Linked DNA regions of Arabidopsis thaliana. The protein of the gene in region 3 interacts with the protein of the main gene of each other region in a pairwise test. Each region holds a gene or a part of one and is shown on either strand. Other genes may lie near its edges.

The links.
Region 1: the proteins of AT4G26030 (region 3) and AT5G59990 interact in a two-hybrid assay, tested with the Arabidopsis thaliana proteins (one large-scale study listed by BioGRID).
Region 2: the proteins of AT4G26030 (region 3) and HB20 interact in a two-hybrid assay, tested with the Arabidopsis thaliana proteins (one large-scale study listed by BioGRID).

Annotation. Positions count from the first base shown.
Region 1 is NC_003076.8:24,151,477-24,155,239, reverse strand, and holds the start of AT5G59990 (CCT motif family protein), read left to right. Parts: upstream 1-2,038; 5' UTR 2,039-2,155; coding exon 2,156-2,548; intron 2,549-2,807; coding exon 2,808-2,966; coding exon of another isoform or gene 2,967-2,978; exon of another isoform or gene 2,979-3,389; intron 3,390-3,763.
Region 2 is NC_003074.8:71,491-75,253, reverse strand, and holds the start of HB20 (homeobox protein 20), read right to left. Parts: upstream 1,948-3,763; 5' UTR 1,656-1,947; coding exon 1,517-1,655; intron 1,441-1,516; coding exon 1,055-1,440; intron 295-1,054; coding exon 1-294. Other genes in the region: AT3G01210 (RNA-binding (RRM/RBD/RNP motifs) family protein), read right to left, coding at 2,095-2,553, 2,628-2,726, 2,797-2,872, 2,957-3,072. UniProt on the Arabidopsis thaliana protein: Probable transcription factor.
Region 3 is NC_003075.7:13,203,376-13,206,728, forward strand, and holds AT4G26030 (C2H2-like zinc finger protein), read left to right. Parts: upstream 1-2,161; coding exon 2,162-2,824; 3' UTR 2,825-2,851; downstream 2,852-3,353. Other genes in the region: AT4G26020 (4/1 protein short form protein), read right to left, coding at 1-14, 102-207, 591-653.

The DNA.
Region 1 (3,763 bases), on a different chromosome or scaffold from region 3:
AAAAAAATATAACTAATTTTTATTTCGTTGATTCTAATGGACCTACATTCCGATCCTCTTAAGTGAAAAAGATGCTTTCGTACCCCATAAATAAAATAAAATTATATATTTGGCTTAGAGAAGTGATATCGACGAGAAAAAATTCTTCAAATAAATTTATCGACGGACCCATATTGTATATATAGAATGTAATGGAGAAGAACAATCATTTCCCCTAATACAAGGGAAGATTGTATACACATTTCAGGAGGAAGACTATCTAAGTTAGTGCACTTTTGTTAATTTTGGTTCAAATTTAGGTTTTAGATGTAACAAATTTGATTTTTCATTTTTGGTTCGGTTTGTTACCATCATCCAAATGAAATATTTTGGATACATATAGATATATAATCATTTTAGTTTAAACTTGGATTGGACTGAATTAGATAAATATAATCAATATCATCTAGTAGTAATAATGTGATATGTGGGTTAATTTTTCTACTAAACAAACACCACGAGTTGGGTTGATATTATGTATCCTCATTATGGAGTGAGGCTTAAACAGGAAATTATAAGTTGTTTTGTTCTTAAATGAGTGATTATGTATTATGTATGATGATGATGATGAGTAGGCCAATTTAGTGACTGACTACAACGTGTTCCTACAATATATTGGTATATATGCAGTGATCCTACTATTCGAATTTCGTTCTTGGAATGTAACTAATCGTAAACAAAATATCTATAAAAAAAAACAATATTTATATACTTTACCGTAGGGGTAGCTATGTATAACTCGTTTGAGATATTCTCTCGATATGTTACCTAAATCGATTTGATTCCAAACAAAAAATTCTGGCTAATTAACCTGACTAATCATGGATTGGAACAGATATACAATTCATATACAGAGCAGTACTATCGTGTCTTGTCTGGTTAATTATCCGGACCGGACTAAACACCCGTTTAATGTGAACATAACCAAAGCAATCAAGTATCTGAGCTTAATTAATTATTACTGTTGATTAAGTTAATGATTAATTAGGCAAAAAAGTAGATTTGTATGCTGCTCACATGGGTTTGCGTGAAATAATGCTTTTAACCATCTTTTTGTCTCTCCTATACAATTCGAGCTAAAAAGCTAAGTCGTGTCCTTTATTTTATTTTATTTTTCTTTACATTGTTCTTTTGCTGTTATGATTTATGAATGTTGCACGAGATGTTATCTATCTACTATTTTAAAACACAATTGTATATTTTTTTTCGTCAAGGACTTGAAGTTAAAACACAATTGCTTACGAAAATATCAGTAAATTTACTGTTTCAAGAAATGATTATGCCTTCCATTTTACAACAATTATCGTTGTGAAATTCTTAATACATTAAAAAATGTTATAACGCCATTTAGTTTGAAACGTAAATGTGTTAAAGAGATTGAAAAAAAAGAAAGAGTTTACTAATTATAAAATTCAATATAATAACAATTTTTTTGAAATTCAATATAATTAGTATTTTTTTTTTTGAATACCAAGAGGTTTTGGACTGAAACCCGTAATCCCTCCGTACCCGAAACTACAGCATATAATATTACTTTTGTTCTAAACGTCATTCGAACTGGCGATCTCTAAGTTTCGTCTAGGGTTTTTACTAATTGAATTAACAACACTTGGTTATAATTAGTAATTATTTGTCACTAGCTTTCTTCCTCTGTATTTATAATTGATAGCATATTAATCAGTAACCTATATATAAGTAAGTATATTTGAATTTTTGTTTTTAGTAGTAGTTCTATTTTTAATGAAAACATTTTTAAACCTAAATGAAAAAATAATTATCATTTTTGTTCAACTATCCAAATTCACCTTCGTATAATACATGTCGGATTCAATTTCGTGTAATATATGTCGTTTGAAGAATAACGGGTGAGAGTGAGATAGAAGCGACCTGAAAACGAAAGGCAACTCTTTTTATACCTAAAGATTCCTTTTTTCCTAGTCAGTCAAAAGAAGTCAACGGTTAAGTCAGTTGACTTCAGATGACGATTAATGACGTCAGCATCAGTCCTTCCTCTGTTAAATAGAAACCAAACCACTTCGAGTTTCACTCACTCACACACACACACATAAACAAACACACAAAGACACATAAACACCACAATAAACTAAAACCCACCATGTGTGGACACGTCAGCACTTCTATAACCTCCGGCGACAACTGTCCATGTTTTCTATACTCCGACGACATAGTGGCTCCTCCTCAGCTGCTTGATCATCATCATCATCAGTTCCCGCCTCCGCCTTTGGCGCTTCTTATGATGAGCCAAAACTCTCTATACGCGGCCGAGGCGGTTTCAGGGTTCGGTTACTTTGATTCCGGCATGAACGGTGGTGGTGGAAGCAGCAGCTGCGACTCGCCAAGCTCTATGGGGAGTGGCGGAGAGAGTCTTGTTATGCAGAGGAGTGTTAGTAGCCATAATGGCTTTTCCGGTAATTACACAGCGGCCCATGATTTCGTTAACGATGATGATGGGCCAGTGAGACGGGCCCTTAGCGCCGGAGATCTACCCGTAAGTAATATTATATACACACTTGCAGTTTCGAGATTTCAAACGTTAACTTTTATGTTTTCGTTTACGTATGAAATTTTTCACATTTTATAAAACGAAACATTATATTGTTGGTTTGTTTTATGGTTTTGCAAGAGTGTAAAATGAAAACACCAAAACACAAATAAATTATCTAAACATACTAAAATTTGGGGTTTTATTTGAAAATAATAATAATTCTATCATAACATAAGACGACACTGTTTTGGTATGTGTGTAGAGGAGTAGCAGAAGAGAGAGCAGTACGGTGTGGAGTGAGAGCAATGCAATAATAGAAGGAATGAGCAAAGCCTACAAGTATAGTCCTGAGGAGAAGAAAGAAAAGATCGAGAAATATCGTAGCAAACGAAACCTTAGGAATTTCAACAAGAGGATTAAGGTAATTTTATAAATGTTTTACAGTTGTTTCTTTGTTCTAAACTGTTTGTTAGCATAAATTCTTATATCTTATTTTAACATATAAGAATTTATCATTTGATTCATATTGTTCTTCATCACATAGAGTCCATGTACACCTAACCTATATTATATATTCAACATGTGTATATATGTGTCGCATGGAAAACTTTTGAGGACTTGACATGTACAGTAGTTGTATGGAACAGTGACATGCACCTTCACATATATTGATGCAACCATTTTCTAATCAAGCATACAATTTCCTATAAATTTCTTCATTAATCAACTAATAATGATTTCTGTATAATTTCATACACAAGAGCATATATAAATGTCTATTTTCTTAAAATCAAATGTATAAGATATCTTTTCTTAGTAATACTGTTTTTTTTTCACATTTAATACAAAACTAAATGGTTCGTTGACCAAAAAAAAAAAAAAAAACAGGCTCAATGTATCATATCAATCACTCTTATCACTAAAAAGTAACATTGAATTTTTCTTTTCAATCTTATCTTCAAACATAAATAGAATTTCATCTGATATATATGAGTATGTGAACGAGAATTAATGTTCTGTCACATCATATTTGGGTCTAAGGAATCCTTTGAGATAGACACATCAAGCTCCAAGGTTGCTACAAGTTTTTTTCTCCATTAGTTTTTTCTTACAAGAAGGTCCACAAATATATTTCATTGCTAATTAAAGATCGGATTGGAGTATTCATGTACTAACATATTCAAACCGTATCTCAATGAGATATTTCTGCTCGCGTTA
Region 2 (3,763 bases), on a different chromosome or scaffold from region 3:
CCATGCCCAGTAACCAGCCGGCGTCGTTTCATCAATGCCATTAAACATGTTACAAAGGCTTTCTTCTTGAACTATTTCATGATTCTGATGATGATCATCATCATGTGCAGATGATCGAATCGATGAAGGGAATAGGTCTTTGATCGTGTTCACATGTGTTGTAATGGTCTCTCTAGGCATCTCCAGATTGATGTCTGAACTATTCTCTGTGCTTCCGTTGTTGCTCCATGAAGCTTCTGCTTCTCTCTTTACTATGTTTCCTTCATTACATTCTTTGTTCTTTAAAGCCATTACCTTTAACCATCATCACACACAATTCAAATGTTAAGTTTTAGAAATTCAGATATTAAAAATTATCATTTCTATATATCATTAAAATAAACATAATTATATATAATTTAAATTAACAAAATATTTTTAAAATGACTAATAACTTAAAATAGATAAACTGTAAGACTATATATGTAAATTATATATTTACATATACTTAGCTTAAGTAATTTTTGAAAATCTTGTAACTATTACATTTCAATAAGTAGTAAAATCATTTAAAACACACAAAAATGATATGATATAAAAATCAGTATTCTTGTCAAATTTGGTTAGCGCACACATGCCATTACTTGATAGTCATATGGGAATGTATTAATTAAATTGTAAATATTGATCAAGAATCCTTTTTATTAATAAACAAAACACCTACTGTCTTTTGACAAACATCTTATAGTGTTGGATCATGTGCCTAACAATAATCTATTGCATTTCGTATTAAACGACTTTAATACACACAAGATACATACATATATATATATATATACACTGATATATATACACATATATATATACTACATAAATAGTACCAATCCAAGCCAATAATCAGAAAAATATTTGTAGTCCTAGATTTATTTTACGTTGGTTATTACTATTAGTGCAAAACCAAAAATAAAAAAACCAAAGAAAAAAACAAACACAATCAAATTAGAAATGAAAGTTGAATTAAACACCTTATTTACTATATAAACACACATATATACTTACTTATATAGATACATACCTCAGCAAGGAGTTTCTTGTTATAGGCAAGTAGAGAAGCATTGTCGGATTTAAGAGACTCAAACTGTTTCTTGAGTGAATCATAATCTCTCTCGAGCTGTCTAGTCTTCCACCTAGCTCTCCTGTTTTGAAACCAAATCGCGATCTGTCTTGGTTGCATCCCTAATGCTTTAGCTAGTTGTATCTTCCTCTCTGGCTCCAGCTTGTTACCAAGCTCAAAGCTCTTCTCTAATGCCTTAACTTGCTCTAATTGCAGCCTCTTCTTCTTCTCTCCCAGCATAGTATGTGCCCCATCGTCTGATAGATTCTCCTCATCCAAGGTTTGATTATGATCTTCTTGCACGTTCATTAAAGACATAGATCTGTTCATCATGTAGTTTCCTCCTCCTATATACACCAACAGAATTCATGACTCAAATCTATTTATGTGGAGAAATAGTGAGAGAAAGAGAGAGTATAGTACCATTGAAGAGATGAGGAGGACAAGAAGGGAGCTGATCTTGACTGTTGTCTTCATGAAGTTGTTGGAACATAAAACCATGTTGAGGAAACGCCATCTCTAATCTCAATCCAGCTTCTGTTGTTGGATCAAACACATACATGTATGTATTCCACCAAAAACCTATCAGTGATTAATGGATTGTGAAATCAGTATAGTGATGATCAAATATACTTTGTTGTTTGCAGATTTGGAAATCACTATCAAATGAGTTAGGTGTTTCTTGTGGATCTCATCAACCTCTCATATAAGAGAAAGAGAGAGAAAGAATGAGGAAAGGATCAAGCTAGGGAGGTTTCTAGGACCCATCCTTAATATTTTAAAAGCTTTAGGCTTATTATTATATTTCATATATATTCTCCAGTTCATGTAATAAAGTTATTTTATAGTTTCTGCCTCAAATATTTTCGATCATGTAACGTTACTAATCATATCTTCATGATGGTTTTTTTTTTCTTTTTCTTTTCACAACACCTTTTATGCTTTAAAACCTCACATATCATTTATTTATGTTTTCCAAGGAAGCCCAAAGACTTTTTACATCAATTGCTTCCTCCTCCACCGATATGGGCCGCTGCTTTTGCAGCCCGGCCCAAAGCATCTGAGAACCATAAAGCCCCATTAGCAAAGTAACGACTGTTGACCACACTAGTCGCTGCAGCTGCAGCCACTTTCCCTGTAATGGTGGCTGCGGCTACAGCAGCTGTGCCCGTGACAAGAACCGCGGATTTAGTGAAATCCGAGAAATGATACTTCTCGTCCGCTGATCTCACGAGTTCCATACTCGACTGAATGTTCTGTGTGAGGCCAAGGTAATGGCTGATCTCTGCCAATTTGGTCGCTACCAAGCTTGAAAATCTCTGAGACTCATCCAAAGCTTTGGCTTTACCAATCGCGTCTTTGCTTAAAACGTAGCCTTTAGCTAACATCGTCTGCACAACTTGTTGAGCCACGGTTATGGCCTCTCCAGGCGATGAAGCAAACGCGTCTGAACGAGTCACCTACAAAGAAACATTTTCGAGAATCTTTGGCTTATAACCTAAAGTAACCTAGTAAGTATTGTTTTTAATGTTACCGTAACACTATAGTCTTCTTCTTGTCTGAGATTGTTAGATTCATGTAAATAGACACCGTAGACCGATATCCAAACGGTTTGATCAACGATCGTAGCTCCCTGAAGATCAACATTAAAATCAATGCCAAGAAGATCATACTGGAAATTTCTAGCTAATTAAGGGACTTACGCTAAGTAACACAGCCATATCCAGAGCATACGCATCTCTGAAGGTTACATAAGCCGTTAATGCATCCCCTTGGCACCTGAAATCCATGGAGACATGAAACAAAATATAAACAGATTCAAGAATGATTAATAATTTACTGAACAATGAACGTTGTTGTTACCCGGTGATTTCAACGAGCTCGACGATACCACAGTGAGAGAAGAACCTATGAACATCTTTCTCAGTGGCTTGAGGAGACAAGTTGGTGACTTGAGCAACGTAACCACAAGGATACATTATATTGTTCTGTTTTCTCACACGAACCTAGATACCTAAATCAAAGAACAAACATAAACAAGATTCTTGAATCACATTCCGTGAACCGTTGAGCGATTTTCTAGAGATTTATACAGCAAGAAATCTACAAAGCTACGATTACTATAATGATTCAAATAAAAAAAATAAAAAAGGTGTCCAGGCCAAATAGTTAGCGGAGAGGGAAGAAAGAAGAAGTAAGAACCCTAGATTATAATTGAATGAGATAAGAGATGAAAGTAACAGTAACAAAGATAATCAATGAGATATGTATCAACCAACCACACAATCGGAAACTTCGAGAAGCAGGGCACGAAAAAAAACTGATAGTGTATGTTCTGTTTTAGATTACCCGATTAAGGCACAATAGAACAGGACGTCACAGGATTGAAGCCAAGTATCGAAAGAGACGGAGAGAAAAGAAGACAAGATTCGTGTGATTGTGAGAGAGAAAGAGGATTCTTCAAATTTAAACAAAAAAAGAAAGAAGAGGAATGTTAACATTTAAACCAAAAAAGAAAGAAGAGGAATGTTCACATAATTTTTTTTCTTTTGTCGGCTCGATCGATATCGATGTTGTGGTCGACGATACGCGTCAAACGTAAGCTCTAGCGATGCGCGTGTTATTATTGTTTCCACGAGTCTTTTGGGCACTTTTTACTTAGGCTTTTTA
Region 3 (3,353 bases):
CAGCCTTTCATTCTCTGCAAATTCCCAAATTCGAGTTAATCAGATGGCTCAAAAACCACTTAAAAGACTAGCAAAGCTAAACTAAACACCAATCAACAAACCTTCTTTGAGATTTTTGTTACTAATCTCAAGAACCTCTCTCCTGCTTGATTCAACATTGCTCTTTGATCTGTAAACATTGATCTCATTCAACCCGATTTTAAAATCCTGAGAGAAACAAAAATGAACTATGAATGTTCCGATTATTCTAGCGATCTAATCCTTCAATTAAGCAGTACTAATCCTTCAAAAACTTATGAGTAATCAATTCGAAATCTGTACGGATTTGCAGTACCAGTAGCCTAGAAATTTCTGAATACCAGATCATCTCTGAAACTACCGGTGAGAGAAATACAACATGAGCTGATCAAAATTTCCAGATTTCTCAATTCATTCGGTTCGATTAGAGAAGGAGAGCGAATCGATTTGATTTCAGATGACGAGATAATCGTAATCGAATTAGATTTAGGTTTCTCCTATCGAAAAACGAAACCAGAATAGTGGAAGCAGCAAGCGAAGAAGAAGAAGAAGAGATAGGAAGAGAGAATCACCTCGTAGATTTGATCGAAACTGGAGAGAAGCAAATTCATCTGCTCGTCGCTTGTTGCCGCCATGATTTTGAGTTTTTGAGTTTCGAATTCGTAAAGGCGAGGGAGATTGAAGAAAAAAGGAAAAAAAGCTAGGGGTTTAAAATTCGAAGGATGTTTTGGTAAATATGCCGAGCATTCTGGGCCGTCGATGTCACCTACACGCTAATCGCTAATCCAATGGTCATGTTATCTAATTAAAAAGATATGTAAAAAAATAAAATCTTATTAAAAAGGGATAACATGAAAATTGTTATACAATTTATTATTTTGTTTTGAGAAATATTAATATTTGTTTTTTTATTAATAAAATTATTACTTTACTTAAAAAAATATATATCTTTCTTGCTTTTTTTACATATTTTTTCCTTTCTTTCTGGAAATTTTGTTTTTCCGATTCATGTTATGAGATATTTTTTTACATTGACCGGTGTATTGTATTTTGTACTTTAATTTTTTATTTTATGTAATCACTCTCTTATTATTCTATTGTGTACATTTTTTAAAAGTCATTTAACTATTTGTTCATTGTTTTCTTAAGTTAATTTCTAATTGTGATAGTTCTTTTAAGTAATATCTATGATCACAAGATTATATCATGTACTCAACATATTGGTTTTTCAATGGAAATTCTATTTTTTTTTGCTAAAAAAATAAAAGAACTTTTTGTAATATTTTAATTATTAAACTAATTATATCTAAACTTTTTGTATCGTCGAACAAAAATCATATTATATTCTTCTTTATTATATTCAAAGTATACATTTTTTTCATCGTATATTAGATATCTACATATTGAAGATTAGAAGTAAAAAATATAACATATAAATCCAAAATTTAAGATATGAATTAAATGAAATTTATTAAGTGGACCTCTGTTACCATAACTTTTGACTGAAACATAAAAATCTGTTGAACTAAATTTTTAGAATTTTATTTTATTTTTATTTTTTGTGAGAGTTGCACTTTAAATGGAAATCAATGGGATAAACGATATAATAAATGATTCTCAACTTACACATCCCAAATAAGTAAAAACAATAAAGTGATAAACTAATTTTGAAATAACAGCCAAATACTACCAAAACAAATAGAGGTTTTCCAAATAAAAATATAGAAAATTACAAATTTGAAGATTTTTTTTATAGTAATAGATATTAAAATTAGATATCAGTCCACAAAAATATTCATTTCCTTATATGTATAAATTAGTTTCTTTCTTTTAAAAATTTCCACTTTAGTCTTTTTTATTTAATATAAAAACCAATTTACCCTTTTATTAAGGTATACTAATAAATAATAATCTAATATAAATAGATAGATATGCAAAGTATTTAAAACACACGCTCCCTTGTACTATGAATCACAGTGATTTTCCCATCCAAATAAACTCAAGTTCGATAAATCACCAGTCTAAAATGGTTTCATCAATGTTCGTTACTTCTAACAACAAAAACCATGCTAATTTATATCCATCTTCTTTTTTTACTAGTTCCCATGTTTCAAAAGTTTCTTCATCTTCATTGAGAACCAACATGGTTTCTCCTTTCAGTATGCCTTTCATAGCTCAAACTAGTGGTTTTGTTAACTATTCTCAAGTTTTTATCACTCAAACCATCGCAAAAAGGTATCATGCTCTTATTCCGACAAGCAATATGGTCATTGTCCAAAATGATAATGATCGTGTCAACCGTTTCATGACTTCTTATCCACCAATTTTGAAATCTACAGTTAACCCCCCAAATGATTTTGATAAACAGTATGAAACCTTCACACCTAAACCCATCGATTTCTTTTGTTCGCAACAAGACTATGCATGTCGTCAGCATTTGGATATATTTTCATCCTCCCCAAAACACTATCATGAGCAATATGTTCATAAAAATGGTCGGTCGGTGAAATATATCTGTAAACCAACAGAGGTCCTTGAAGAAATTCATGACGAAATCGATTATGAAAAAGACGGTGGTTGGATATATAGCCTGCCGTTTGAGAAAGACAGTTCATTTATATGTCTAAAGTGCAATAGTTTGTTTGATACTTCACAAATGTTGGTTGTACATACAGAGTTAATTCATTCTAAGAATGAGACTAAGAAAAGGCTTAAATTACATCATCAAGAATTCCATGGTAAATCTCATAAGATCAACAAAGATCAAACTGGAGGACAAAGTTGCAGAAGAAAGTTGAGGCAATAGAGACGATCAAGTGATTATGAAACTCCCAGCATCATGTATTTGGTGAAGAAGCATCTCTTTAAGATTTGACTTTATTTCTTTCATGTTCAGTTTTATTAGTACTTTGTAAAACAACTTTTTGTGTATTTCATTATCTTCATTGATAATTTAAAACTGTTTAAGTCACCAAAGCTATGTACAACCATGGAGAAAACTATATTTCTGTTAGTGTATAACTTTTATTCGACCATAAAGAAATAAGTCGGATTGGGAAATCACCTAGAATTTTACTTTTTGGTTAGAAATCTGTAAATTTATCATAAATTTGTAGAATTCATGGTTAAGATAAGTGATTAAATTATAGGAAAAAAAAAACAGAGTACCAAAAAGAAGAGCCTTTCAGAAAAGCTGACGGCGATTAGGGTTTTCGTGAAAGATGATGACCTAGAAGTAAATTACAATTTTGACTTTTTATTTTAAGTTTTCAAAGTAACAATTGGGTGTTTACAATAAAACGAGTAGACTTGTAAAATTTTTTAATATTATTATT